7 linked regions of the Oryctolagus cuniculus genome follow. The protein of the gene in region 2 purifies or fractionates together with the protein of the main gene of each other region. This does not show direct contact. Links are inferred from orthologs where the notes say so. Each region holds a gene or a part of one and is shown on either strand. Other genes may lie near its edges. The genes, in order: PTTG1IP, STX7, SNAP23, VAMP4, NAPG, NAPA and SNAP29.

What was found.
Region 1: the proteins of STX7 (region 2) and PTTG1IP purify together in Homo sapiens (affinity purification with mass spectrometry; 3 studies listed by BioGRID and IntAct, counting the BioPlex papers as one, with this or other methods). This does not show direct contact. The link is inferred for Oryctolagus cuniculus from reciprocal best matches to the Homo sapiens genes STX7 and PTTG1IP.
Region 3: the proteins of STX7 (region 2) and SNAP23 purify together in Homo sapiens (affinity purification with mass spectrometry; 3 studies listed by BioGRID and IntAct, counting the BioPlex papers as one, with this or other methods). This does not show direct contact. The link is inferred for Oryctolagus cuniculus from reciprocal best matches to the Homo sapiens genes STX7 and SNAP23.
Region 4: the proteins of STX7 (region 2) and VAMP4 purify together in Homo sapiens (affinity purification with mass spectrometry; 3 studies listed by BioGRID and IntAct, counting the BioPlex papers as one, with this or other methods). This does not show direct contact. The link is inferred for Oryctolagus cuniculus from reciprocal best matches to the Homo sapiens genes STX7 and VAMP4.
Region 5: the proteins of STX7 (region 2) and NAPG purify together in Homo sapiens (affinity purification with mass spectrometry; 3 studies listed by BioGRID and IntAct, counting the BioPlex papers as one, with this or other methods). This does not show direct contact. The link is inferred for Oryctolagus cuniculus from reciprocal best matches to the Homo sapiens genes STX7 and NAPG.
Region 6: the proteins of STX7 (region 2) and NAPA purify together in Homo sapiens (affinity purification with mass spectrometry; 4 studies listed by BioGRID and IntAct, counting the BioPlex papers as one, with this or other methods). This does not show direct contact. The link is inferred for Oryctolagus cuniculus from reciprocal best matches to the Homo sapiens genes STX7 and NAPA.
Region 7: the proteins of STX7 (region 2) and SNAP29 purify together in Homo sapiens (affinity purification with mass spectrometry; 3 studies listed by BioGRID and IntAct, counting the BioPlex papers as one, with this or other methods). This does not show direct contact. The link is inferred for Oryctolagus cuniculus from reciprocal best matches to the Homo sapiens genes STX7 and SNAP29.

The regions. Positions count from the first base shown.
Region 1 is NC_091435.1:1,731,988-1,735,487, reverse strand, and holds part of PTTG1IP (pituitary tumor-transforming gene 1 protein-interacting protein), read right to left. Parts: intron 2,945-3,500; coding exon 2,836-2,944; intron 1-2,835. UniProt on the Homo sapiens protein: May facilitate PTTG1 nuclear translocation.
Region 2 is NC_091436.1:36,549,354-36,553,510, reverse strand, and holds the start of STX7 (syntaxin-7), read right to left. Parts: upstream 2,801-4,157; 5' UTR 2,671-2,800; intron 1-2,670. UniProt on the Homo sapiens protein: May be involved in protein trafficking from the plasma membrane to the early endosome (EE) as well as in homotypic fusion of endocytic organelles. Mediates the endocytic trafficking from early endosomes to late endosomes and lysosomes.
Region 3 is NC_091443.1:65,560,024-65,563,523, forward strand, and holds part of SNAP23 (synaptosomal-associated protein 23), read left to right. Parts: intron 1-291; coding exon 292-450; intron 451-1,667; coding exon 1,668-1,812; intron 1,813-3,500. UniProt on the Homo sapiens protein: Essential component of the high affinity receptor for the general membrane fusion machinery and an important regulator of transport vesicle docking and fusion.
Region 4 is NC_091438.1:26,827,091-26,830,590, reverse strand, and holds part of VAMP4 (vesicle-associated membrane protein 4), read right to left. Parts: intron 2,298-3,500; coding exon 2,197-2,297; intron 903-2,196; coding exon 823-902; intron 1-822. UniProt on the Homo sapiens protein: Involved in the pathway that functions to remove an inhibitor (probably synaptotagmin-4) of calcium-triggered exocytosis during the maturation of secretory granules.
Region 5 is NC_091441.1:67,737,920-67,741,931, forward strand, and holds the start of NAPG (gamma-soluble NSF attachment protein), read left to right. Parts: upstream 1-1,212; 5' UTR 1,213-1,404; coding exon 1,405-1,460; intron 1,461-4,012. UniProt on the Homo sapiens protein: Required for vesicular transport between the endoplasmic reticulum and the Golgi apparatus.
Region 6 is NC_091449.1:10,127,484-10,131,621, forward strand, and holds the start of NAPA (alpha-soluble NSF attachment protein), read left to right. Parts: upstream 1-1,338; 5' UTR 1,339-1,536; coding exon 1,537-1,634; intron 1,635-4,138. UniProt on the Homo sapiens protein: Required for vesicular transport between the endoplasmic reticulum and the Golgi apparatus. Together with GNA12 promotes CDH5 localization to plasma membrane.
Region 7 is NC_091452.1:29,626,593-29,630,092, reverse strand, and holds part of SNAP29 (synaptosomal-associated protein 29), read right to left. Parts: intron 3,227-3,500; coding exon 3,030-3,226; intron 1-3,029. UniProt on the Homo sapiens protein: SNAREs, soluble N-ethylmaleimide-sensitive factor-attachment protein receptors, are essential proteins for fusion of cellular membranes.

The sequences.
Region 1 (3,500 bases), on a different chromosome or scaffold from region 2:
TTAGAACTACAAATGCAGATAGAATACAAGTTTTACAATCTTTTTCAAGAGCTACAAATTAAAACCCATTAAGATTTTTCTATTCAATTCAAAGCAGAGCTGGATTCATTCCAAATGCTGCGCCCCCCCTTTTTTTTTTTTTTTTTAAAGATTTACTTATTTATTTGAAAGGTAGAGTTACAGACAGGCAGAGGTAGAGAAAGAGAGAGAGAAAGGTCTTCCATCTGATGGTTCACTCCCTAGATGGCTGCAATGGCCAGAGCTGTGCCGATCCGAAGCCAGGAGCTTCCTCTGGGTCTTGCACATGGGTGCAGGGACCCAAGGACTTGGGGCACCATCTACTGCTTTCCCAGGCCACAGCAGAGAGCTGGATGGGAAGTGGAGCAGCTGGGACCTGAACCGGCACCCATATGGGATGCCAGCACTGCAGGCGGTGGCTTTACCTGCCACTCCACAGCGCCAACCCCCTCAAATGCTGCTTCTGCAAATATGCTTTTCAATGCCATTACAGCATCTTCTAGAAGACAGGGCCGACAGCAAACTTCCTCTGAGCAGCGGGTCCACGGACGATTCCAAAGTTAAAATCTCCCACCACACAGAGCCATGCTTTCTAGCCTCCTGTTCTCTCAGCTGCGGCAGGTTTGGAAAGTGAAGTTTTTCAGGTAACTTGGCCTCAGCAGGAGGGAGGCTGACACCCAGTGCTCTGGGCGTCCACAGTCCACCCACTAGGCCTGCTGTGAAGATGCCCCTCCTGGGAGCTACTTGCGCACTGAGCGCATTTTTAGCCTCTAACCTCGTCTTCAAATCAGCAGAAGTGTCACACCTGATCAAATGCTGCTTGAGCTTTAAAATCATGCCTTTCCTCCTCTGACCTGCTCGTACAAAGGAAGCTGCAGAACATGGTGGTGGCATGAACAGAAAGCAGGCCTTCACTGGAGCAGACATGGTGGTGGCATGAACAGAAAGCAGGCCTTCACTGGAGCAGACATGGCGGTGGCGTGAACAGAAAGCAGGCCTTCACTGGAGCAGACATGGCGGTGGCGTGAACAGAAAGCAGGCCTTCACTGGAGCAGACATGGTGGTGGCGTGAACAGAAAGCAGGCCTTCACTGGAGCAGACATGGTGGTGGCGTGAACAGAAAGCAGGCCTTCACTGGAGCAGACATGGGGGTGGCATGAACAGAAAGCAGGCCTTCACTGGAGCAGACATGGTGGTGGCGTGAACAGAAAGCAGGCCTTCACTGGAGCAGACATGGGGGTGGCATGAACAGAAAGCAGGCCTTCACTGGAGCAGACATGGTGGTGGCATGAACAGAAAGCAGGCCTTCACTGGAGCAGACATGGCGGCGGCATGAACAGAAAGCAGGCCTTCACTGGAGCAGACATGGCGGTGGCATGAACAGAAAGCAGGCCTTCACTGGAGCAGACATGGTGGTGGCATGAACAGAAAGCAGGCCTTCACTGGAGCAGACATGGCGGTGGCATGAACAGAAAGCAGGCCCTCACTGGAGCAGACATGGTGGTGGCGTGAACAGAAAGCAGCCCTTCACTGGAGACGGCATACTTTTCTAGAGCCCTCTAGAAAAAGCAATTCTAAAAACCGATGAGATCAGTGACATTTTCCGGTTAGCAGCTGACACTAGTTATCAAAGAAAAAAGAAGTCCTGTCACAATGGGAAGCAAAACTAGGGGCCCCTTTTGTGTTCACCCTGCAAGGCCAAAACGCAAGAATCTCTACCAAGGAATGCAAAGGCCAAACGGAAGCGCAGAGGCGACAACTGGCTTCTGAACAAGAGGCACATGGAAAGGGGCTCCCTTTTCTCCGAATGAGCGCATACTGAAGTTCCTGCAATAAAACCTCCGCATATCTGCTTCAAACTGGATACAATGATTCCAAAATCATCTGTAAGAGGAAGCACCCTGTGTAGGTGGCACCTGGACCTCTGGAGAAACCAGGAAGGCCCTGAGTGGCTCCCCCAAGATCCTCCATTCAGCTCCCGCTGACAGGGGCCCAAACAGCCCTCCTTCCTTACTGCGGGGCCAGGCACAGGGCCACCCTACCCCTGAGCACAGCTCTGGTTCCTTCTCAGCCCTCAGATTCAACCAAACTTGGGATGAGGGGGCACCCCGTCCTTGTGAGCTGCACTCACATCCTTGACTGCTTCTCCTGTGTGGCTTACGTGTCCTCCTCCTGGGCTACGGCCATGCGGGACACATCGAACAACTATGACAGACTGCTGTCAATCTCATCTGGGCAAGGCTGGATTCATGTTTGGCAATCCTTGTAACTCGGGGTAGGGATTCATCCACATGAGAATCACAGAAAACACCTATCCCCGTAAAAGGCAGTCGACATCATTAATCATGGGAGAAATGCAAAACAGAACCACAGTGAGAAGGGACCGCACACTCCCTAGATGGTCTAAGCTGGGACGGCTGACTACCCTGAGACGGGAGGAGGTGGGGCAGCGGGATGCCCCACACTGCTTGAAGAACACGACTGGTACAGTCACTCAGACCTGCACGGCAAACCGTGTAAGGCTAACCAGAGCTGTGTGGAACAGTGAGGTCAAGGGCGACGGGCAGAGTTTTCTTTCTATGAGAGTCAACAGCAGAACAACTCCGTAGTGACGGGCGGTCAGCACAGTGGCCGCCCCCGAGGTTCTGACGGGAACAGGCTATCAGGCTCTTCCGGAAGTGCTGGACATGCCCTGCACAGTCTGCTCTGAGTGGGGAGAACCTGTATCTGCATGCAGAAGTTCACTGTGATTTGCAGAATTTTCAGGAAAAAAAAGAAAAGAAGGCACTGACGAAGCAAATGAACACAACAACTTACCCCAGCACACACCCCAGCGTGCAGAACTCAGTTTACAGAGAGAAGCAGGTGGCAGGACTTTCGTGACCGGGTAGTCCAGACATGCCTTGTTAGTGTTGCACCACAGACACTGTAAGAGATCAACAAAGCAGCAGAATGGCCAGGACCTGAGCACCACCCACTGCTCCTACGGCCTCTGCGCACGGCCGCCCCTCTCCCCCGGGCCACTGTAATGCCGTGGCCTCCCAGTGCGTCTGCGTTCACCCTCACTGCCCTTCAGTCAACGCCCTACAGCTGAGCTCCAGGTCGCCTCGCCCAGCAAGGCCACAGCCTCCGCGAGCTGCCAGGCCCCGCTTGCAGTCTGCTTGCTCTGCCTCGAGCAGCCTTCCCGAGACCGCCGCCGCAGGGCCCGCCCTCACCACACTGCTTGGCTTCTGAGCAGCTCCACACCCTGGCACCCCAGGCACACACTGTGTGCATCACACCTTGTCTGCGTGAGGGCCTGGCCCTGAGTGTGTGGGGGGGGGGGGTCACGTGGGGACCATGGCAACCACTCTGTGTAGAAGGGCCCCAGGCATCCTGCCTCAGGCATGAACGGCTGCTGTTAGGAAGGTGACGCAGAGAAGTTTCGAGGCTTCTCCCAACGCTGCTCAAGCCCTCCACGAGTCCGGGAGCCCGCATGTCAC
Region 2 (4,157 bases):
ACTATAAACTGACCTAAAAGGTTATGAACTTTGCATACAGGTTAAATTGTTGCCAAGTTTTTCAAATGTTTGCTTTCCACATCTGTTTTCAGGACCTAGCTCAAGCTGCTACTGCCTAAAGCACTCTTATGGAATCCCTTTCAAAGTCCATTTAGAATTCCTAGTTTCATTCCTCAGACTGACAATTACATAACATTATCTGGACCTGCACTGTCTAACAGAGTAGTCACAAACTCCATAAGCTATTAAAACTACAATTAAGTCAAAAGAAAAATTCAGCCCTGAGTCATAACAGCAACCTCTCAAGGGTTCAAAGATTGTATGTGGCTAGTGTCCAAAGCCCAGACAGCTCCTGGACCGTCCACTTCCATGCTTGCAGCAAGTTCTGCGAGGATGATGCTGATCTCACCTCGGTAATTATCTTTGTGGAGATATACGAGGTCTGGGCACTACAAAGAGAAAAAGGGGCAGGGTAGATCAAAGCGCAGCACTCATAACGAGTCTTCTCAGACTGCTTCTAAAGGAACAAAGGGAATTTCAAAATGGAACCCTGGGTGACAAACACTGTCCTCACTTACCAGTGGCCATGCTGCAGAACCTTTAAGATTCCAGTAAGCATAGATCTTGTGTTCTTTAAATCTAGGCTGGGCAAAGAAGTGGTCAGTTTCACTTTCTCAATCATCAGCACCAGCATATAATACTGAATTTCTTTGCAGGTTGTGCACCAATACATAAGTTCCCGGAGTCATGGGGGTGATAACTTGTGTGTGTGTATGTGTGTGGACTGTTTGATTTTCAGAATTCAGGTACATAATAGGTGCTCAATTAATATTTGTAGAACAAATGAATAAAATGACCATACTTCTGAGAGACATGGACCCATCCTGAGGGTATATATAAGGGGTCTTCAGAAAGTTCATGGAAAATACCTATCACAAAAAATTTATGCGTGAATTTCAAAAACGTTTTGCACCAAAATAAACTTATCTTTTCTTTCTACTTCTACATAAGCATTCTGATGTACATTCACACTTCCATTTCTAAAGCACTGGATTCCAAAGCCTCTTTCAGATCCCAAAAGGATGCCCCAAGGTTATGGTTGTCTTGTGCCTGATGCCATTTCCCAACCTTGGAATGCTCTTTCCCGTGATCTGCACGGGACAGGCTACTTTTCCCAGGAGTTATCTATCACATGCTAGAGAAAGCCAGGCCTGATGTGAGAATTCACCACTCCTGCCACTCTGTCATTCTCTCTCAGTGCTCCCTAACACTCATCACTATCTAATTATTTAATTGGCATATGCTTATGTCTATCCTCATCTTTGGAACACAACAGATATCCAACGTTGTCATCTTGTGGTACGTGTAGTACCAGGTGCACAGTAGATGCTCAATGAAAGTGAGAGCGCTCACTACGGCTTAGTAATCTCTACACCTGCTCAACAGAGGCATTCCTCAAGCCACTACCTCCACAGGATGAGCCATTACACTACTCAGTGTTAGTTCACATTACCAAGGGCTTTGTTTTCACTTTTCCCACATTAAGCTTTCAAATTACATGGAATCACAGGAAAGCCTCACTCAGACTTACTGCAGATATTTTATATAATTTAATTTTCAACTACCAGTACTTGGCTGAAGTTTGGGAACATAACTAAAATTAGAATTGACTTGTTATCTGCAGCATAAGTAAAACATCTGAAGGAAAAATGACATAAACTTTGTAGAAGTGAATGATACTCATTAGACACTTTCAAACTACAGCCCAATTTCTAACTTGTCACAAGGCTGAGGCTGATCCACAACACCAGATGCAGATGTAGTGGAACATTTTTTCCCCCAGTCTCTGCCCAGGTGCAGCTCAGAGCAGAAGGAACACCCACCTCCGACATTACTAAACAGTACAGCATTTCATAATTACTTCCTTTTCTTCCAGATTCCGGGCAAGATTTAAATTATATATAACTGTGTCGAATACAGTGATCGGAGGTACAAAAAACGAATACACAAGTGTAAGAGCCAAGCAAATGTCAGAAATATGAGAGAGAAAACACAGCATTTGATCATAAAAGCAATGTTCCTATTAACCCATTCTGTCTAAATTTAAAGAAAGAGAGGGGTATGGAGGTGCTCGGAATTCTTAAAATATTGTGATTTCCAAGGCCTTAAAAATGTAATAAAAAGAAAGTTGGCATGTCAAAGTCACCAAAGCCAAACACAAAGGGCCGCTGAACACACGTCTAGGGTTTGTCTACCACAAGCATTTGACTCTCGTGCCCCTGTTTTCGGGAAGTTTCAAGCATGTGTTTGTCGACCCGTAAGTTAAAAGGAGGAAGAGGTCTCTTGTCTGTTCTCTCCAGCCTCGGGAGCGCAGCCCTGGGCGGCTCCAGGCGGCTGCCACCCGGCAAGCGCCGGACTGGCGGAGCTGGCGAGGCCGGCCGAACCGCCTCACCTCGGCCGCGAGTGCGGGTCCAGCGACGGGCCCGGGGGGCTTGGGGACGGCCGGCGCTCCGGGAGCACGGGCAGCACCCGCCCTTCGCCTCCCGCGAGTCTGCCGCAGAGCTCAGGGCGGCGGCCGGCGGACCAAGCGCACAGAGCAGGTGGCAACGCTGCAGGGACACCGCGACTCCGGCCGCCCAGCCAGAGCCCCCTGCCCCACGCCTCTCTTACCCTGACCACTTCGGCTTCCTCCTCCTCCAGCGGCCGCTGTCACCCCGGGGCCCCACAGCCCCCAGCTGCAACTCTCAGCTGATGGGCGGCGGCACAGGAACACCCACTGCGCATGCTCCCAGTGTAACCCGGAGAAGAAGGCGAGGCTAGAGGGGCTAGCTCCTCACCCATTGGCTTTAGGGACTGAGTGACAGAGAACCTCTCCCGCCCCCTCTGGTTCACAGCGAAGGAATGGAAGCGCCAGCAAAATTGCAGGGGGCAGTTCTTTGAAGGCGGGCACACAAATGGTGGAAGCCTTAGCCTGCATACAGAAGAAAAGAGGAGGAAATGGAGGGTATTCGTCTTCTTCATCCCATGAAGCCAACCCCCTGGACTCGTGCCTTCACCCCGCCCCCGCCTTAGGCTCTTCCCTGTCTCCTTTCCTAACCTTTAACTCCGCCGTAGACCGAATGCACAGCTCCATTCGAAAATGCAAACGCAGATACGCCATCCTAGCAGGAACAATGAAGGGACAGGGGAACACCCCGGGTACTCACTCAGTGGACTAGCTTTTCTTGATCACGCAAGTCAGTCCAAACATCCTTGAAAGGCAAGAAGCAATCTTCGTGGACTTTAAAATTGGAAGAGAATGTTCCAATAATAAATATTCAATAGGAAGTATTACCTGAAAAGCATCAGTTGCTTCAAGTGAGAGAAATACTTTACTAAACTAATTAGAAGATACAATGGCTTGGCCTTTGCTCCTATCAAGGCAACATTGTTTTCCAAAAAGATCATAAGATTAAGTGAGAAGTCTAGGGCTACTTAGAAAAGCAAAACAAAACACTAAGCACAAAGTGTTTTGAATTAGTACTACTTAGAAAATTCTAGGCTGTTTGGTGTTATACATGCACATGTATATCCCTGAATACATCAGGACTAGTCTTTACCTCTGTGAGATGGAAATAATACAAAGAGATGGGCTTGCTGGCCAAGTAGAGGGCACACCCTCACCTAAAGGCAGTGTGATTCAGATATGACCATTGTGAATGTTTGGGAATATTGGCCAATAAAGTCAAATTGTCTGCTTTTCGGGATATAGTGGAAATTCTATTTGTGTGTGTATGTGTGTGTGTGATATGTGAAGTTTTCTTTTTTGATGTTCTCAAATTGTTATGAAACATTCTCTGATCAGACAAAGTATGTGTTTGAACTCAAATAGTAGGCAGCAGTGACAGCCCCTGAAGCTGGAGAGACCCTTGTGGAAAATCTAGTGCCACTTCCTCATTTCATAGATTAAAGAAACCGAAACCCAAAGAAATATGAAAATCACAAATTATGAACAGCACAGGTCCAGATAGCCTAATTCAGAATTTAGAATCTTTCCTACTGTTTCATTCATTCAGAAAATGTTCATTGAGATCCTGCCACATGCCAAGTACTGCAGATGTCAAGGTAAGTAGGATGTAGTATTTTCTTCAAAGGAGCTTAAGGAGTGGAGGTCCTTC
Region 3 (3,500 bases), on a different chromosome or scaffold from region 2:
ACCAGAAGCCAAGGGAACCTGAGAAAATCAAATGATTGCAGTTTGCAACTTGCTAACAGCTTAGTGAAGATTTGACAGAAGTACTATCTGGGCCCTTTAAAAATGATTTGATGTCAGTGGGTTTACTAATTCATCTTTTTCCTATCCCATGTTGCCATGAAGTGAAGCATAGATTCAGCAATATCAGCTTTTCTGCTAGATTTTAGGGTCTTCTTCAAGATGAACAGTACTAATTATTACAACTGTCCCTCTCCTGCTTTTTGGTATCTCCGTATTCCTGACTCTTAATAGGACGAAGAACTTTGAGTCTAGTAAGGCCTACAAGACAACATGGGGAGATGGTGGAGACAAGTCGCCTGGCAATGTGGTGTCTAAGCAGCCGGGCCGGGTAACAAATGGTCAGCCTCAGCAACCAAGCACCGGGGCAGCCAGCGGTGGATACATTAAACGGTATGCCAGCTCCTCCCTCTGTCTGCGCCTTTCTAATCTCTCACGTGAACCTAACTTAGCAAATAGAAATAGTGCTTTTTCCATTTTTGAAATATATTTCAGAATCTGCCTGTGACAAAAACGTTGACTGTGGTTGTTGCCTGTGGATGATGGAATTAATTTCTCCTTATACTTTTCAGTACTTGACTGTTACTGGAGTAATATTTTACTTCTGTAGATGGAAAAATATGTATCATGTAGAGCAGGGACCGGCTGGGTTCCTGTAAAGGGTCAGGCAGTAAATACTTCATACAGTTGCAGTTGCAGTTACTCGGCTCTGCTGCTATAGAACATAGCCACATAGCATGCATAATCAAATGAGCATGATTTATTTTTGGGGGCTGGCATGTAGCACAGCAGGTTAAGCCACTGCTTGTTTTCAGCATCCCATGTTGGAGTCTGGTTCAAGTCCTAGCTGCTCCACTTTTGATCCAGCTCCCTGCTAATGCATTCACTCCCCAAATTGCCTCAAGGCTGGGACTGAGCCATGCTGAACCCAAGAGCCAGGAACTCTATCCAGGTCTCCCACATGGGTGGCTGGAACCCAAGCACTTAGGCTGTCATCCACTGCCTTCTCAGGACATTAACAGGGAGCTGGATATGAAGTACAGCAGCCAGGACTCAAATTGGCCCTGTAATATAGGATGGGATGCAGGCCTTGAATAGGCCCTCTAATATGGAATGCAGGCATTATAAGTGCTGTCTTAACTTGCTGCACCACAGTGCTGGCCCCTGGATAAACTTTATTTACAAAATCAGATCGCAGGCCAGATTTGGCCTTTTAGCCGTAGTTTTCATACCTCTTTTAGAGCAGTGGTTCATTGTACCTAAGCATGCATTAGAATTACCTGGAGGGATTTATTAAAATATAGATTGCAGGGATGCAGTAGAACTAGAGGTTGAGTATGAGAATTAGTGTGATCCTGTGTCTAACAAGTTCTCAGGTGATGCTAGGAATCACATTTTGAGAAATACTGTTCTTGTTCTATAGTTGTTTTCTAATCTTCTCCTCCATGGTATTAACAAGCTGTGCTCTCCTTGATCAGTCTTTCAATTTTTATTATTCAGTAAACCCCAAGAATAGTAACTTACATCCCCTTGAATATTTTTATGAAAATTAAATCCAGACTTAGGCCATTTTAATTGGACAGAAATAATTAACTATCTTTTTATCATAGTATCACTAATGATGCCAGAGAAGATGAAATGGAAGAGAACCTGACTCAAGTGGGCAGTATCCTGGGAAATCTAAAGAACATGGCCCTGGACATGGGAAATGAGATTGAAGCTCAAAATCGACAAATAGACCGGATTACAGAAAAGGTAAAGTCTTTTTATGACCACAAGAAAATGAGACATCCAATTTGTTTTTTTTTTTTTTTAACTTTTATTTAATGAACCAATTTGTTTTGATAGTGGACATCTGTGCTCGATACTTGGGGGAAAACAATTAGAGCAGATCTTGTCCTCCTAGGACTTACAGTTTTGATGAGGCAACATTTTCTAGCACACTGATAAACAAGAGCCACATCTTCCTGTCTCTTGTATGGCAGTTGGTTAATTTGAAAGCATGGCATCGCAATGACTTCATACATGAAACTATTATTATCTTTGATGGTGCTTTTATTTATTTTTTTAAAAACCCTGAATAAGTTCACTTTTTTGTTTTAAATATTTATTTATTTGAAAGGCAGAGGCAGAGTTACAGAGAGGCAGAAACAGAGAGGTCTTCCATTGCTGGTTTACTCCCCAAGTGACCGCAACAGCCAGAGCTGGGGAGATCCGAAGCCAGGAGCCTGTAGCTTTTTTTTTTTCTTCTTACTTTTTTTTTTTTTTTTTTACTTTTTTTCCTTTAAGATTTATTTATTTATTTATTTGAAGGGCAGCATTACAGAGAGGCAGAGAGAGAGAGAAAGAGAGAGAGATCGGTCTTCCATCCACTGGTTTACTCCCCAGATGGCCACAATAACTGGAGCTGCACTCATCTGAAGCCAGGAGCCAGGAGCCAGGAGCTTCTTCTGGGTCTCCCACGTGGGTGCAGGGGCCCAAGGACCTGGGCCATCTTCTACTGGTTTCCCAGGCCATAGCAGAGAGCTGGATTGGAAGTGCAGCAGCCAGGACTGAAACCGGCACCCATTTGGGATGCCAGCACTGCAGGCAGTGGCTTTACCTGCTACACCACAGTGCCAACCCCTATAAGTTCACTTTTGAAATTTTATTTTTTTTAACTAATAAATTAATAAGTTCCTGAATCCTCACCTCCTGAAAGTGTTAGTAGCAAATATCATTTCTGCAGGATGGTGTTTGTGGAGTATTCATACAAGAGTGATATGATTAATGGAAAATAGATTTTATTTTTCATTTTTACTTCACATGATCAAAAAGATACTGAAAGTAAAATTATTTTCAGTGTTTGGATATGTCACATCTAAAGATCATACTTCATTTAAATCTCAGACTACTTTAAGGGATGGGGTGAGTTTTTAAGTTTTGCTATCCAACCACTTTTGCTAGATTTCATTGAAGCAAATAATGGTTCATAAGGTACTTTCAATGTTGTGGTCTAGGTTTAGGCTACATATTACTCATCATTTAAATTCAGATATTGATGTGGGTGGTAATGAATCTGTCACAGAGATCTTTGGGAAGGTTATTTCAGTCTGTGTGGATTAGATCTAGTGTAGCTCCAGCTGAGATTCTATGATTTGGTTCTAATGATTCTCATTAAGATCCAGGTCTATAACAGATAAGGACATTTTTCTGTTTTATTTTATCAAAAATCCCATTGATTAGGGCTGGCACTGTGGCATAATGAGTTAAGCTTCTGTCTACAATGCCAGCATCCCATAAAGGCACCAATTCAAGTGCTGGCTGTTTCACTTCTGATCCAGCTCCTTGCTAATGTGCTTGGAAAGTGGTGGAATGGCCTGAATCCTTGAGTCCTTGCTCCCACATGGGAGACCCAGATGAAGCTCCTGGCTGTGGTCTGGCCCAGCCCCAACTGTTGTGGC
Region 4 (3,500 bases), on a different chromosome or scaffold from region 2:
AACCCAAGACAACTTTCGGAAGATCTCCTTAGCATATGGAAAGGTGAGTTTACAAAGTTATTGCTAAACTTGAAAATGAGAGAATAAAAGCAATGAGCTTATGTCTAAGACTTTCAACAAAACCAAAATCATACCTAGAATCAGGAGAAAAAAGGATTTGCTCTCATGATATGAAACTTGCTACAAAATTTTAAAAGAAACATTTGGTGTTTAATAATTAGTAACCATATTTGATTTAAGAGATGAACTAATTTCTATGAAATGTTTTGCAGCATATTGTAATTCTCATCTTCTCTGTGTTAAAAAATTCATTTATTTCTTTTTTCTCTGCATAATGAGGGATTTGGGGACTTTCTCTTAACCCATTTGTCATTACTGATTCTGACAAATTGCTTTTACCTTCCCTTTTTCAATGGAAAATCATATATTTCTCTAGTTATACTTTTATTTTTTAACATCTCTTATATACTATAGGTTGCACCAATAAGAACTAAAAATAAATTATAAGAAAAATGTATATTTGTTAAGATAGTAAGTTTAGAAGTAGTTATTAATAAAATGGGGATTATTTTATGAAGAAATTGACATAAACATCTTTGTAGGTATTGCTTGATTATTCTACTTATATCTGTCTCAAAAGTAATTTATTAATTCAACAAATATTTATTGAGTTCCCAACATGTCTCAAGTTCAGGAGACACAATAAGTAAGACAGCAGTAGTCCTGTCTTCATGAAACTTATGCTCTAAGGTCCCAGTTTCTTCACATCTTTGAACACACTTGAGATGTTGGCCAATCTATCCACTATCTTGATTCACTTACTTTGCATCCACGCCACCACATTTGCCTTCGAAGTTGTTTGGATCTGTTGCTAAAAGCAGTTGCATTATCCGATAAGCTTTCTATATCACATAGAGGATGGAGAGAAGTATTAAACGATATAACAGGATTCTTTTATCTAGTCACACAAAGATAAGAAAATATTAAATTTCTACATATGCAAATGTGTTCCCTTTTAAAAAAGCATGAAAACAACTTTCTCCCTTTCTTCCACCCACACACTCTAGCATACTACATTGTTTAAAAATAGAAACAAAAGGTAAAAAACAGTTGCAAGTTACTTTGTCCAATCCATTTTTACTGTAAAATTAAGAAAAATCTTCCAAGGACTTCCATGCTTATAAATAAACTAATAAATTTGGGTAAGAAAATACTCTTTAAAAATACAAATACTTGGCACATCTCTAGAAAAAATAAATTCCATATGGAAAGGATTAACTCTTAGAAGATACTGAAAGTGAATAGTTCTGGGGGAAAATAATATGAATTTGAAAAATGCTTAAGCAAGGTTTTTGTTTAAGCAAGCCTGTCAAGGATTGATCAGGTATTCAACCTGTCAAGGATTGATCAAGTATTCAACCATTTACCATTCAAGTGACTAATTTGTGTGAGGAACTGTTACATCTATACAGGTTAACATCTGTTAATAAAGGGAAGTTACTGAGTTGCAAGAAAAAAACATAAATTAAAAATATCGGGGCTGGCGCTGTGGCACAGTGGGTTAATGCCCTGGCCTAAAGCGCCACATCCTATATGGGCGCCAGTTCTAATCCTGGCTGTTCCACTTCCAACCCAGCTCTCTGCTATGGCCTGGGATAGCTGCAGAAGATGGCCCAAGCCCTTGGGCCCCTGCACTTGAGTGGGAAACCTGGAAGAAGCTCCTGGCTCCTGGCTTCGGATAGGCGCAGTTCCGGCTGTTGCAGCAAACTGGGGAGTGAACCATCAGATGGAAGACACCTCTCTCTCTCTCTCTCTCTCTGCCTCTCCTCTCTCTGTGTAACTCTGACTCTCAAGTAAAAAATAAATCTTTAAAAAAATCACTGAAGTTTAAAATAAGGGTTGGGAAAAAGTTATTAGATTTTTATGCCTTAAGATTTTTATGCCATGAGAAACTCAAAGCATATCAAAATAACAGAGCAAAGGAAAAATAGCTTTACTCTTCACTCAACAGGTATTTATAAAATATTCCATTCTCAACTGACCAATTAAAGAACACAGTTAACTGATTCAAAATAAATGGAGTCAAATGCCAATCTCAAGCCAAGATCCCTAAACATTGGCTACACAAGTGGGAGAAGATATAAACTAGCAGAAACATAGATTAATAATATCAAGAAATATATGAAGTTTGTGTACCTGATTTGTCTTGTAGTTCATCTAGTCTCTCCCCTCTTTCAATTACCTTTGTAATATTTTCTTGCATGACATCAATAACTTCATCCACCTGATTCTGAACACTAGTTTAAAAAAAGATAAAAATTATTCTTTGAGAATGTTTATAATTTTTAAGTTTTCATTAGACAGGATAGAGAATAACAAACTATTAAACTATAAAACTTCAGTTTAAAGCTTTGTAGCAATTTTCTTCCATTTGTGGGCTTGATACTCAGATACTTACAGACACTGTGATATAACTCAGAGACAGTTTATTTATTGTTCTGCTTCTGACCAGTAATGTAACTCATAATCAAATTAAATGTACCGTCAGAATGTTCAACAACTGCAGAATTCAGTCCAACAGCTTAAACCTAAATTATCAGTTTCATTTGCTCATCAGTGGGCTCTCCAGGGAGCATGTAAAGCCATACTGACTTTTGCTGTAGACTTCACACACAAAGGCTAACAAAGTAGTTTGTCTAGGTGTGTTAGAAGCTTATGGAAAAAATCTAGTTTCCAAAATGGAAATGGAAGGCATAATCCAGGAGACACTGATGCTCAATGAGAATAACTCTTCACGACTTGTCACTTTTCTCTAAAACAAACAGGGCTCAAGACAACGAGGAACACCCAGGAATATACTGAAGTACCAACCAGGAAGCAAAGAGGAAAATGTTTTTGTTGTCCTTCCAAATAAAAATGTTTTCCTCTGTTAAATTAGGTTATGGTGTGGGCAATGAAGGTTTAGCCAAAACTTAAAAATTAAAAACTGATACTTAGCTAGCAACTTTCATTCAGAGCACGCCAAAACAGAAATGTTTAAATATTTTAAGTGTCTAGTTTTCCTCTGTTGCTCCAGCCACAAGACAAAAAAATGTTTTAAATTTCTTTATGAGTAAACATGACAATGAAATATTTAAAATAAGAAATAAAGTGCATCACAGTTCTTTTTTTTGTCTTAATTAATATTTTATTTGCTCTTTTTTTAACTTTTATTTAATGAATATAAATTTCCAAAGTACAGCTTATGGATTACAATGGCTTCCCCCCCAATAACTTCCCTCTCACCCGCAACCCTCCCATTTCCCACTCCCTCTCCCCTTCCATTCACATCAAGATTCATTTTCAATTCTCTTTATATACAGAAGATCAGTTTAGTATATATTAAGTAAAGATTTCAACAGTTTGCACCCACACAGAAACACAGAGTATAAAATACTGTTTGAGTACTAGTTATAGCATTAAATCATAATGTACAGCACATTAAGGACAGAGATCCTACA
Region 5 (4,012 bases), on a different chromosome or scaffold from region 2:
CCCCATCTCATCATTTCCCATCAGGCCCCATCTCTAAACACCAAATAGAAATGAAGCATCTATTCTACTTGTACCATTAGCATAAGACTTTGGGGACTAGACTGTTTGAGAGGATAAACATTCACATCATAGCAGTGTATGCAGGAGAGAATGGCTAATATGATAAAACATGGACTTTGTGCTGGGTAGAGAGGGAAGTATACGAGCAGAAGGATGGGAAAATGGGATGGGATGTGTTGAAGGTGAAGTCTCATAGGCAGCAGAATGTGGGGGCTGGAATGACAGGAGGGTGGAAAGTGGGCTGGTTGAAATTGACACAGTGAAAAGCAAGGGCAAGAATATGACCTGGGGAACAGGTGGCTGAGCTGGGGTGATGAAGGAAGGATGCTTATGCATAACTGCCCAATAGTAATTATCACAACAGACTGCTGGAACCACGAACTTACCTGGGTAGGGCACTGCCGCCTCTCCCAGCAAGTACTTCTGCAGACAGCCACCCAGCAATGGCCCTGCCTCAGGCTCACGACTATCTTGTTACCAAGCACCGCGGTGCAAGATTATTGTTTCAAACCTCTGATGTAATCCACTTCATTTTTTGCCTTTAAAAACTTCCCCTTGCCTCAGTCTCTGAGCATGCCCATAAGTTGCCTACGGGCTGCATACTCCTATTGCAATGCTCTGTTAGCTTCAAGTATCAACATTCTCTGCTGTTTGTTTAGCTCGGTTGGAAACGGAGAAGCTGAATAGGCATTAGAGGAATCACCCGAGTGGGCACTGGACTCACCATGGATTATGAATGGAGCCAAGAGTAGTACTCACTACTGTTTTTACTAGGCTGTCTCAAGCGACCCTTCCACAGTTTGGAACACGGGAGTGAGTCTGTGACAGTAATCAGGGGTTACAGTCTGTGTTGCTTATTGACTGACATTTAACTGATGCTCAACAGGCAGAATGGGTGAACAAAATTAATAGGATTCCAGCTATGGCACACACAAACTTCAGATCTGATAACCAGTCCCCTAACTCTACAAACACAATGCACAGGTTTTCCCATGAGGGCAGGGTTTTTGTTGTACTCCCTACTGATCTTCCGAGGCCTGCAGCAGTGCCTGTTTGGTCAACGAACAAACATGCCCCCTGCAGTAACTCCACCACACTGCGCTAAAGCTCCGGGGCCAAGCGAGCCCCCGTTCTGCGCCTGCGCGCAGTCTCGGCGGGAGCGCGGGCTTGGCTTCCGGCCGCACTTCGCCGCAGTAGATTTGAGCCCTCCGGCCCTCCGTTGCGGCGGCCGTGTCGCGCTGTCCCGGCTTCCTTCGCGGTGTTCCCACGCCTACTCGGCCCTGCTTTCTCGGGGCTCACGGAGGAGGCGCCGTCGCCCTCCACGTCAGGGATCGGGCGGTGCAGATGGCGGCTCAGAAGATAAACGAGGGGCTGGAGCACCTCGCCAAAGCCGAGAAATAGTGAGTGAGGGACCCTCCCGTGGGCTTCCCTGGCGGGGTCCTCGCACCCGGCGGGAGGGCACCGGGACTGGGATCCGCGGCTCGCTGACGCCCAGGACGCTGGCGGGGGCTCTGGCCGGGGCCGGGCGCTGCGCCTGGGGATCGAAGGTCGCCCGACAGCCGGAAGTCTTCGGCGCGCGGATCCCGTGCGGTGCAGAGCGGGCTCCCGGTGCGGAGTTCGCTGCTTTCCGTCCAGCCAGGGTCTCTGACCGCGGCCCTCGGGGCAGGGTGGCTGCCTGGGTGGGGGCTGGCGTGTGCACTGTGGCACGTTTGGCAGCGTCCCTGGCGTCTGTCTAGTCAGTGCCAGTAGCACCCCCCGTCCCCTTCCCTCCTTTGCGACAACTCAAATATCCCTGGGGAGCGAACTCTTCCTGTTGAAAACCGCTGCTGTGGAAGAATCCCAGAGTTATGGAGGGGGCTGTAGATTTGTCCCGAAAATCCGTCTGCAGACCCTTCTCATCTGCCAAGCCTACTGCTCTGGGAGCGACAGCTGTGCCTTTTCTCCCTTTCTGTGTCGGTCCTGTCGCCATACGGGTACGGTACACAGTAGGCGCTCAGCTCCTGTTGGTGGAACTGCATTGATTCTCCTTAACCAATCCTTTTGACCTCACACCCCTCTCCCCCAAAATCGTCACTGCAGCGAATGTTTTAATCTGGCATTTCTCCATGCTGAAAAACCGCCACTGTGGGCTGGGGGGTGCTTCCATTCATAATTTGCTACTTCGAGACAGCTTTCCAATTGGAGAGTCTCCTTTTACCGCTTGCTCAGGCTGTAGTGTTGAAAGATGGATGAGCCAGTTTTCAAACTGGACAGTTCAAGCGCTTTCTGTTCCTCCATGTTGCTTCCAGGCCCGCGGTCCTGGGGCCGTCTGTTCAGGAGGCCCCCACAACGTCTTTTTTTTTTTTTTTTTTTAAGATTTATTTGAAAGCGTTACAGAGAGAGGTAGAGACAGAGAGAGAGGTCTTCCATCCGATGGTTCACTCCCCAAGGGCTGGAGCTGCGCTGATCCGAAGCCAGGAACCAGGAGCTTATTCCAGATATCCCATATGGGTGCAGGGGCCCAAGGACTTGGGCCATCTTCCACTGCTTTCCCAGGCCATAGTAGAGAGCTGGATCGCAAGTGGAGCAGCCGGGACTCGAACCGGTGTCCATATGGGATGCCAGCACTGCAGGCTAGGCCTTTAACCCGTTGAGCCCCAGCACTGACCCTGTCTCACTTTTCGGCCATTGGAGGGTGAACCAATGGCAAAGGAAGACCTTTCTCTCTGTTTCTCTCTCTCACTGTCCACTCTGTCTGTCAAAAAATAAATAAATAAATAAAAATAAAAAAAATAAAAAAGTATAATTAGAGTGGTGTGTATGTGAGAAGGACCATAGTACAGCTTATTATCTATGAAGAGTTGGGGCCAAGTATGAAGGGATGGCCGTGAACCCTAACTTTTCTAGGCAGTGAATAACCAGTGGGCCTGCTTAGCTTTGGTTTTGATGAAATAAATATGGGAGCATTGCAGGGCCCAGGGCAGCTGTGGCGTACTCAGTAGGCAGGGCGACAGAGTTGTTTCTCTGAACCCGCGCCAGCCGCTGGGGGATGCTGGAGTAAGCAGAAGTAGCCTCTCCCTGGAGAGCTCAGATGCACAGGAGGGTAGGTGAGTGAGCAGTTGAGGGAAACAGGTTTCCAGCGCTAGCGGACAACCTTCCATGGGGAGGCGGAGATACGTGGCAAGGAAGAGCTGGAGTGGGGGAGAAAGGCGGGGCTGTTAGCTCCGCCTCCAGGTGCTGTGAGACCCATCCGTGGGCTGTGTTAAAGTAATGGTCCTGGGGCCAGGATCCAGGGACATTTAGTCACCGTAATGACCTGCTGGGGTATGGAGGTGAAGCTGGCACCTGGGTTTAACCTGGGAGATGGAGTGAGGAGGGTGCCTGCTGTGGTAATGGGTATAGGTGAATGGGCCCAGTTACGGGGAGGCTGGGGCAGGGAGATGCTGGATTCAGGCTTGATGTGTTATGCTTAAGTACCTTTAGTTGCTCAATGGTGGCAGAAAAAATGGGTCAGGAGCTTAGGAAAAGAAAATATGATTTTTCTCTGTTTTCTAGTGATGATGTAGTTCAGTATTACTGAGTAGTTTTATACTGAATCATCCCAAAGGCAAGCATTTGGGATAACACTTAAGATGCAGCTCGGGACCCTGGCATCCCATATCAGAGTACCTGGTTCCCGACTCTTCTCCCGATTTCAGCTTCTTGCTGATAGGAACCTTGGGAGGTGGCAGGTGATGACCCAAGTGGTTGTGTTCCTGCACCCACCAGATAAAATTCTGGGTTCCTGCCTTCATCCTGGCCCAACCCATGCTCTTGTGGGCATTTTGGAGATTGAACCAGTGAGGGGAGAACCTCCCTTTCCCCCCTACCCCCACCCCACTTCAAATAAGCTAAATTTTTAAAAGTCTTCCCAAATTTGTGGTGCTTTTCCTATAGAAACTATCAATTTCCTATTGACTCTTAGGACAGAACG
Region 6 (4,138 bases), on a different chromosome or scaffold from region 2:
TGCCTATTGCTTTACATCCGACAGCCTAAAACACATGACAGCTTGGTACCGGTGCTGCTTGGACAGGCACGGGACCGAAATTGCCTGTGGCGATCCAGACAGACGTCCGCCGAGGCTGTGGTCCGCACACAGCGGCCGCCACAAGCAGCGGCTCGGGAAAGCGCTTCCTGGAAGAGAGCTGGGCGAGAGGTCGGCCTGCCGTGCCCTGGTCAGTCAACCCCAGCCCCGCACAGCACTGCGCGTGCACACGCCGGTCCCATGCTGGGCGGGGCTCTGGAAAGAAATGGACTCCTGTGCCTCGCAGGCTCAGAATGGGGATCGCGACAGGGCGGGCCCTGCAACCTGACTCTGTAAAGCAGCTTTTCAGAATAGGTTCCCAAAACTCCAGACCCCACAGCTTCCCCACGCTTGCCATTAGGCTGGTACCTCTGATGCAGTGAACAAGCCGATCTGGGCACCGTGTGGCCGGCCAGCGTCTGTGCCCTGACTTCTTGAGGTCAATCCGACGCCACCCTGCACTGAGCAGCCGTGGCCCCCTCGGCTCTTACTAGGGAAGGGGAGCAGTACTAAAAATCAAGATCAAGACACCAGGCAATGCTGGAACCGCCGGCAGGCAGACAGCTTGACTTGCGGCCAGCGGCCAGGTCGAGCTCCCTGCCGGACGGCTGGCCGGGGAAGCCGCCAGGACGGAGGGCCCACGGCGAGAGGGGCCCCCCGCGGCGCCAGCAGCGCCCCACGCTCTGCGCGGCCCCGCGGCTCAGACTGGCGAGTCCGGCCCCTGGGAAACAAGCTCCGGGGGCGACGCCTCTCGTTCTCTGCCCCGTCCCTGCGTCCCCCTCTCGCCTGAATCTCGCACGCGCGGCTGCAGGCGCTCCCATCTGTCAAGCACTGCACGGGCCTCCCGCGCCAGTTTCAGCATCGGCCGGCAGAGGGCGCAAGAGAAAGCAGAACGCTCCCCTTTTTTCCCACTGAGGCCTTTTCGAGTGAAAGGAACCACGCGAGACAAGGCTTAGAGGCGGGACTAAAACACCGAGCAAGAGAACTGTCAAACCCAGGCGTGCGCCGGAAGTTGTCACGTGACAGCCGCCGCTCCAGCTGACCCGTGCCCAACTTCCGCAAGGTGGGGCGGACCCGAGCAGAGAGCGGCTGCTGATTGGTGGAAAGGCAAATACTGCGGCAGCACTTTGGGGGTGGGTCCCTGACGGTGAGGGCTACGATTGGCTAGTGCGGCGTCACGAGGTGGTGGGTGCGGAGCATCCGGAAGAGAGGCGCAAAACAGGTGGCTACGCATGCGTCGAGAGTCACGGGGCGGTGCGCGGCGGCCTGCCGGGGCGTGGCCAGCGGGGAGCGCGCCGCGCTACGAGGTCCCTGATTGGCCAGTGCCAGTCACCTGGTGCCCGGCCTCGGGCGGCGCGCGCCGGTGCGACGTCAACGCAGCCAGCTAAGCTCCCGGGACCTGTGTACCGCGGCCCGGCCGGGCCTGAGTCCTCCCAGGGCCCGGGTCGGGCGGTTCGCTGAGTTCGCTCTGCGGCCGCCATGGATAACTCGGGGAAGGAAGCGGAGGCGATGGCGCTGCTCGCCGAGGCGGAGCGCAAAGTGAAGAACTCGCAGTCCTTCTTCTCAGGCCTGTTCGGGTAGGAACCAGGCCGAAAGGTCGGCCGGGACCTGGGCTGGGGGCCGCAGGGGTCACGGCCTGGGGTGGCGGGGGAGGCGCGGTGCGGGGGCCGGTTTCCAGGGAGAGGGCCGAAGGGGCTTGGGCTGGGGACCCACGGGCCCGGGCGACCACCTCTTGAGGCGGGGAAGGGGATCCAGGCTGAAGACGGGCTCAGAGGCCAGCGGAGACCTGGGCGAAGGGGATACGGGCAGTGGCCTTGGCGGGGACCAGCCGCGGGGGCCAGGTTCCAAAGCCTTCTCAAGCCCTCGGGGGATCTGTTTGAGGGGTCGCGCCGGGGCCTGGGGCTGGGGCCACCTGCCCAAGGGGCTGACCTTCCCGAGCCCAGGCAGGGGGCTGCTGCGTAGCCCTTCGGTAAGGACAGGGCTCGCACAGGGCCTGAGGGCTTGGGGACAGGACTAGCGGCTGCCATGCGGCAGGCGCCCACGGAAGTTGGCGGCAGCTCAGGGCCGGCCGCACTGAGGGGCTTTGGGGTGCGGCTGCCGCTCAGCCCGCGACCTGGGTGAGTTTTAATCTCCCCGACGAAGGGGTAGCCAGTGAGAGCTGTCTCCTCCCCGTCGATAGCCGGGCGGCGTTGGGCTGGCGGATGGCGAGCGCTCCGAAGTGGTGGCTGGCAGTGTTGGGAGTGCCCTGCAAGGAAAGAGGTGTGCGGTGATGGGGGCTGGTAGAGAGCCAGGCGGGAGCCGGGGAGCGGCTCAGGAGCCGAAAGGGGCAGGGAAGGCCTGCGGACCGCGGGGCTTAGCGGGGTCAGGGCACGGGCCGGGGAGGGGTAGCGGAGGTCAGCGGGAAGCTTGGGGGGTCAGGGCACGGGGCCGGGGAGGGGTGGCGGAGGTCAGCGGGAAACTTGGGGGGGTCAGGGCACGGGGCCGGGGAGGGGTGGCAGAGGTCAGCGGGAAGCTTGGGGGGTCAGGGCACGGGGAGGGGTAGCGGAGGTCAGTGGGAAGCTTGGGGGGTCAGGGCACGGGGCCGGGGAGGGGTAGCGGAGGTCAGCTGGAAGCTTGGGGGGTCAGAGCCGGGGAGGGGTAGCGGAGGTCAGCGGGAAGCTTGGGGGGTCAGGGCACGGGGCTGGGGAGGGGTGGCGGAGGTCAGCGGGAAGCTTGGGGGGTCAGGGCACGGGGCCGGGGAGGGGTAGCGGAGGTCAGCTGGAACCTTGGGGGGTCAGGGCCCAGGAGGGGTAGCGGAGGTCAGCTGGAAGCTTGGGGGGTCAGGGCCGGGGAGGGGTAGCGGAGGTCAGCTGGAAGCTTGGGGGGTCAGAGCCGGGGAGGGGTAGCGGAGGTCAGTTGGAAGCTTGGGGGTCAGGGCCGGGGAGGGGTAGCGGAGGTCAGCTGGAACCTTGGGGGATCAGGGCCGGGGAGGGGTAGCAGAGGTCAGCTGGAACCTTGGGGGGTCAGGGCCAGGGAGGGGTAGCAGAGGTCAGGGCACGGGGGCCGGGGAGGGGTAGTGGAGGTCAGCGGGAAGCCGCTGAGGCCGAGCTTAGGACGGGGAATGGGACTGGGGTTTGCTGCAAGCCGGGGAAGGGGGTCTGGGAGGCGGGGGGGGGAGGGTCTTTCCAGGAGACTGAGCCTGCCCTTGCTGCTGGAGGTGGGATAACAGCAAAGGAAAACGTCCGGGTCCTCATGGGTTTTGTTGTAGACTGAGTGGAGACCGTGTGTGTGCGCATGCGTGTGTGTAATTCAAGTGCGCTGTTCTGAGGGTGGCTGGTGGTGTCTGGTGCCCTTGGCCCAGGGTTAGGGCCCCGCTGGGCTGCACCGGGGGGGGGGCGGGCAGCTAAGCCAGCCTGGGACAGGCTGCTGGGTTGGGATGGGGAGCGCGACACTTGGCGTGGACTAGTGAGGCTGGGTTGTTGGTTGTAAGGTGGGCTGGGTGATGTCCTTCAAAGCCTGCAGGACTCGGGCGGACGGCGCCTGGCATGAGTGCTGTGAGCAAAGGCCTCACCTGGTGACAGGGACGGCCAGGGGTGGTCTCCCTCGGGCGTGATGGGCCATCGGGGGAGCCGTGTGCTGCGGAGCTGTGAGGCGCGGCCTGTGAAGGTTTAGTGCAGGGGGTTGGGGCTGGGCCAAGGTGAGGCCACGAGCGAGCGAGGGCCTGGACTTGAGCCGAGCCCGAGAGGAGAGTGCTGGGTCTGAGCAGCGACTGGGGACGCTGCCGCCCGTGCTTCCTGACGCCGGGCCTGGCGCTTCCGTCCTCGCCAAAGCCCCGTGGATAGCGGAGGCCTAGAGACATCGCCGTAGGTGCTGGAGCAGCATGCGCTGCCCGGCCTGGCGCTCACTCTGCCCTGCCGTGCCGCAGCGGCTGCTCCAGGGCCAGGGCCAGGGCCGAGCCCCCAGAGCTCTGCAGTGGGGAGGGCGCGGCACACCAGGTCTCGGGGAGCTGCCGCCCTCTAGCCCCTCCCCCCCAGTCTTCCACGGGAGAAAGGAAGCAGCTTTGGGGCCTGCGCTGCCCCGACGCTGGCACCCCGCATCGGGG
Region 7 (3,500 bases), on a different chromosome or scaffold from region 2:
TGGCTTCTGGCTCCGTATCACACAGTTCCAGCCATTGCAGCCATCTTGGGGAGTGAACCAGGGGATGGAAGATCTCTCTCTCTCTGCCTCTCCTCTCTGTGTAACTCTGACTTTCAAATAAATAAATCAATCTTAAAAAAAAAATAAACTAAATGAACATCCTACCTTTCCTGTGGCACAGGTTGAGCATCCTAGCCTGAACACCTAAAATCCTAAATGCTCCAAAACCCTAAACCTTTTTAGAAAAAGATTGATTTATTTATTTGCAAAGGTAGAGTGGCAGAGGGAGAGGAAGAGATTTTCTATCTGTTGGGTCAGTCCTCAAACGACCAACAATCAGGGCTGAGCCAGGCTGAAGTCAGGAGCCAGGCTCTATGTGGGTCTCCCAGGTGGGTGGCACAGACTCCAGTACTTGACTCGCTGCATCTCTGCTGCCTCCCAGGAGCATTAGCAGGGAGCTGGATCAGAAGCAGAGCAGCCAGGACTTGAACTGGTGCTCCATCATCGGATGTAGGTGTCCCAAGTGTGGCTTAACCTGCGGTGCCACAACTCCTGCCCTGCCCCCAATCTGAAACTTCTTGAGCGCTGCTGAGTTTTAGATCTTGGAGCATTTTGGAATTAGGAATGCTCAATTGGTAAAGTCTATGCAAATATTCCAAAATCCAAAAAAAACTAAAATCTGTAACACTTCTGTCCCAAGCATTTCTGATGAGGGATACTCATCTATAATTAAAAGCAGCCAAAGAAGGCCGGCGCCGCGGCTCACTAGGCTAATCCTCCGCCTAGCGGCGCCGGCACACTGGGTTCTAGTCCCGGTCGGGGCGCCGGATTCTGTCCCGGTTGCCCCTCTTCCAGGCCAGCTCTCTGCTGTGGCCAGGGAGTGCAGTGGAGGATGGCCCAAGTACTTGGGCCCTGCACCCCATGGGAGACCAGGATAAGTACCTGGCTCCTGCCATCGGATCAGTGCGGTGCGCCGGCTGCAGCACGCCAGCCGTGGCGGCCATTGGAGGGTGAACCAACGGCAAAAAAGGAAGACCTTTCTCTCTGTCTCTCTCTCTCACTGTCTACTCTGCCTGTCAAAAAAAAAAAAAAAAAAAAAAAAAAAGCAGCCAAAGGAAAACCCAATTCTGTTATGAGAAAGAGTGACAGGGATTTAAAGTTAGGGTCGGGGCCGGCATTGCAGCATAGCAGGTAGGGCTGTCACCTGTGATGCTGACATCGCTTATGAGTGCTGGTTTGAGTCCCGGCTCCTCCACTTCTGATCCAGCTCCCTACTAAAGCACCTGGGAAAACAGCAAAGATGGCCTAGGTAATTGGGCCCCTGCACTCACGTGGGAGACTCAGATGAAGTTCCTGGCTCGTGACTTGAATCTGCCCCAGGCCTGGCTGTTATGGTCATCTCGGGAGGGAACCAGCAGATGCAAAATCTCTGCTTCTGTCTCTCCCTCTTTCTCTCTTTGTAACTCTGCCTTTCAAATAAATGAATTAATAAATCTCAGAAGTAATTAATTAAAATCAGGGTCAAGCTGGAAAATCTGCGCGAAGTGGTGGTTGGGCCTAAGCCAGACAAATCAACCCTGGTGCATCTACGGGAGTAGCCCCAGGGCATTGCAGAGGCCTGCTTTCCTCCCTGCAGTGTCCGATCCAGACGCCCGGAGCCTCCCCCACCTCTTCTCTCTGCTACCATTACTGGCTCTTTACCAACATTCCTTTCTTCCCAGACCCACTCAGCTTCAGGGAAGACTACAGCCCGATACAGCAGAGTGCTGGTTTGAGGACCAGCTCCTCTGCTTCAGGTCCAGCTTCCTGCTGAGGCTCCCAGGTGGCAGCAGACAACGGCTCAAGGCCTTATTGCTCTGCCACCTCTGTGGGTGATTTGTATGGAATTCCTGACTCATGGCTCCAGCATGGTCTAGCCCTGGCTGTTGTGGGCATTTGGGGAGTAACCCAGTGGATGGAAAAATCCCTCTATGCCTTTTGTATTATTTTTTAAAATATTTGTTTTTATTCATTTGAAAGAGAGTTATGGAGAGACAGAGAGAAATTTTCATCTGCTGGTTCACTTCCCAAATGGCTTCAATGCCTGGAGCTGAGCAAATCCGAAGCCAGGAGCTTCTTTCGGGTCTCCCACGTGGCTACAGGGGCCCAAGGACTTGGGCCGTCTTCTACTGCTTTCCCAGGCACATTAGCAGGGAGTTGGATTGGAAGTGGAGCAGTCAGGATTTGAACCAGTGCCCATATGGGATGCCAGTGCTGCAGTCTGGGGCTTTATCCTGCTGTGCCACAGTGTCTGCCCCTGTATCTTTTAAGTAAATGAAAATAAATAAAAAAGTGAAAAGCAATGGGCAAATTGAATTATATGTAGAACACCTGGGTGGGAAAAATGACTTTTTAAAGTACAGATACTGCTGGGGCCAGCTCTGCAGTATAGCGGGTTAAAGCCCTGGCCTGAAGCACCGGCATCCCACATGTGCGCCAGTTCTAGTCTTGGCTGCTCCTTTTCTGATCCAGCTCTCTGCTACAGCCTGGGATAGCAGTACAAGATGGCCCAAGTGCTTGGGTCCCTGAATCCACGTGGGAGACCCAGAAGAAGCTCCTGGCTCCTGGCTTTGGATTGGCACACCTCTGACCATTGTGGCCATCTGGGGAGTGAACCAGCGAATGGAAGACCTCTCTATCTGTCTCTACCTCTCTCTGTAATTCTGTCTGTTAAATAAATAAAATAAATCTTTTAAAAAAATAAAGTACAGATATTGTGTAGGGAGTCCCTTACAGCCTGATCTAACTTTCTGAGGTGAACACTCTCAGTACTGGGGTGACAATCAGTATAGCAGGAATTTACTGGAAACCCAACTTATGCACAATCTGCAGACTAGGTGCCAATCAAATACATATAATCAGGCGTGGGAAGATGGGTTAACACAAAACCCTCCTGAAGTATAACTTACAGGCTTCCTGAATCCCCTCATGGCTCGGCCAAGGCCTGGAAGTCTTCCGTTCACGCCAAAGCCCACTTCTGCTACACTCACCTGCTGTTGGGCTGGGGGGTGCCGGTGCCATTCTGTTCAGGGGCCGCCTCTGCGGGTTTGGATTTGAAGTAATTGACAAGGCCCCCGAACATGCTCTTAATGCTGTTGATGTGCTTCTGGCTGGTCTTCAAATCTTGGTCCATCTTGTCCACCATCTTCTCCGTGCGTTCTAAGACTCCTCGCTGACGGACGAGCTCCTAGGAAAGACACGTGGCAGTTATCCTTCTGGTAGTTCTCCCTGGCCCATGAGAACCACATGTGGGTACTCCATAAATGCGAAGCACATGTCGGGGCAGACGCTGTCACCTGTGAAGGGCACGTCATCATTTTTTGCTTAAAAGATTTATATTATTAATTTGAAAGGCATAGTTAGAGAGAGAGTGAGCACTTCCATCTGGCTGGGTCACTCTCCAAATGGCTGCAACGGCTGGAGCTGAGCTGATCTGAGGCCAGGAGCTTCTTCTGGGTCTC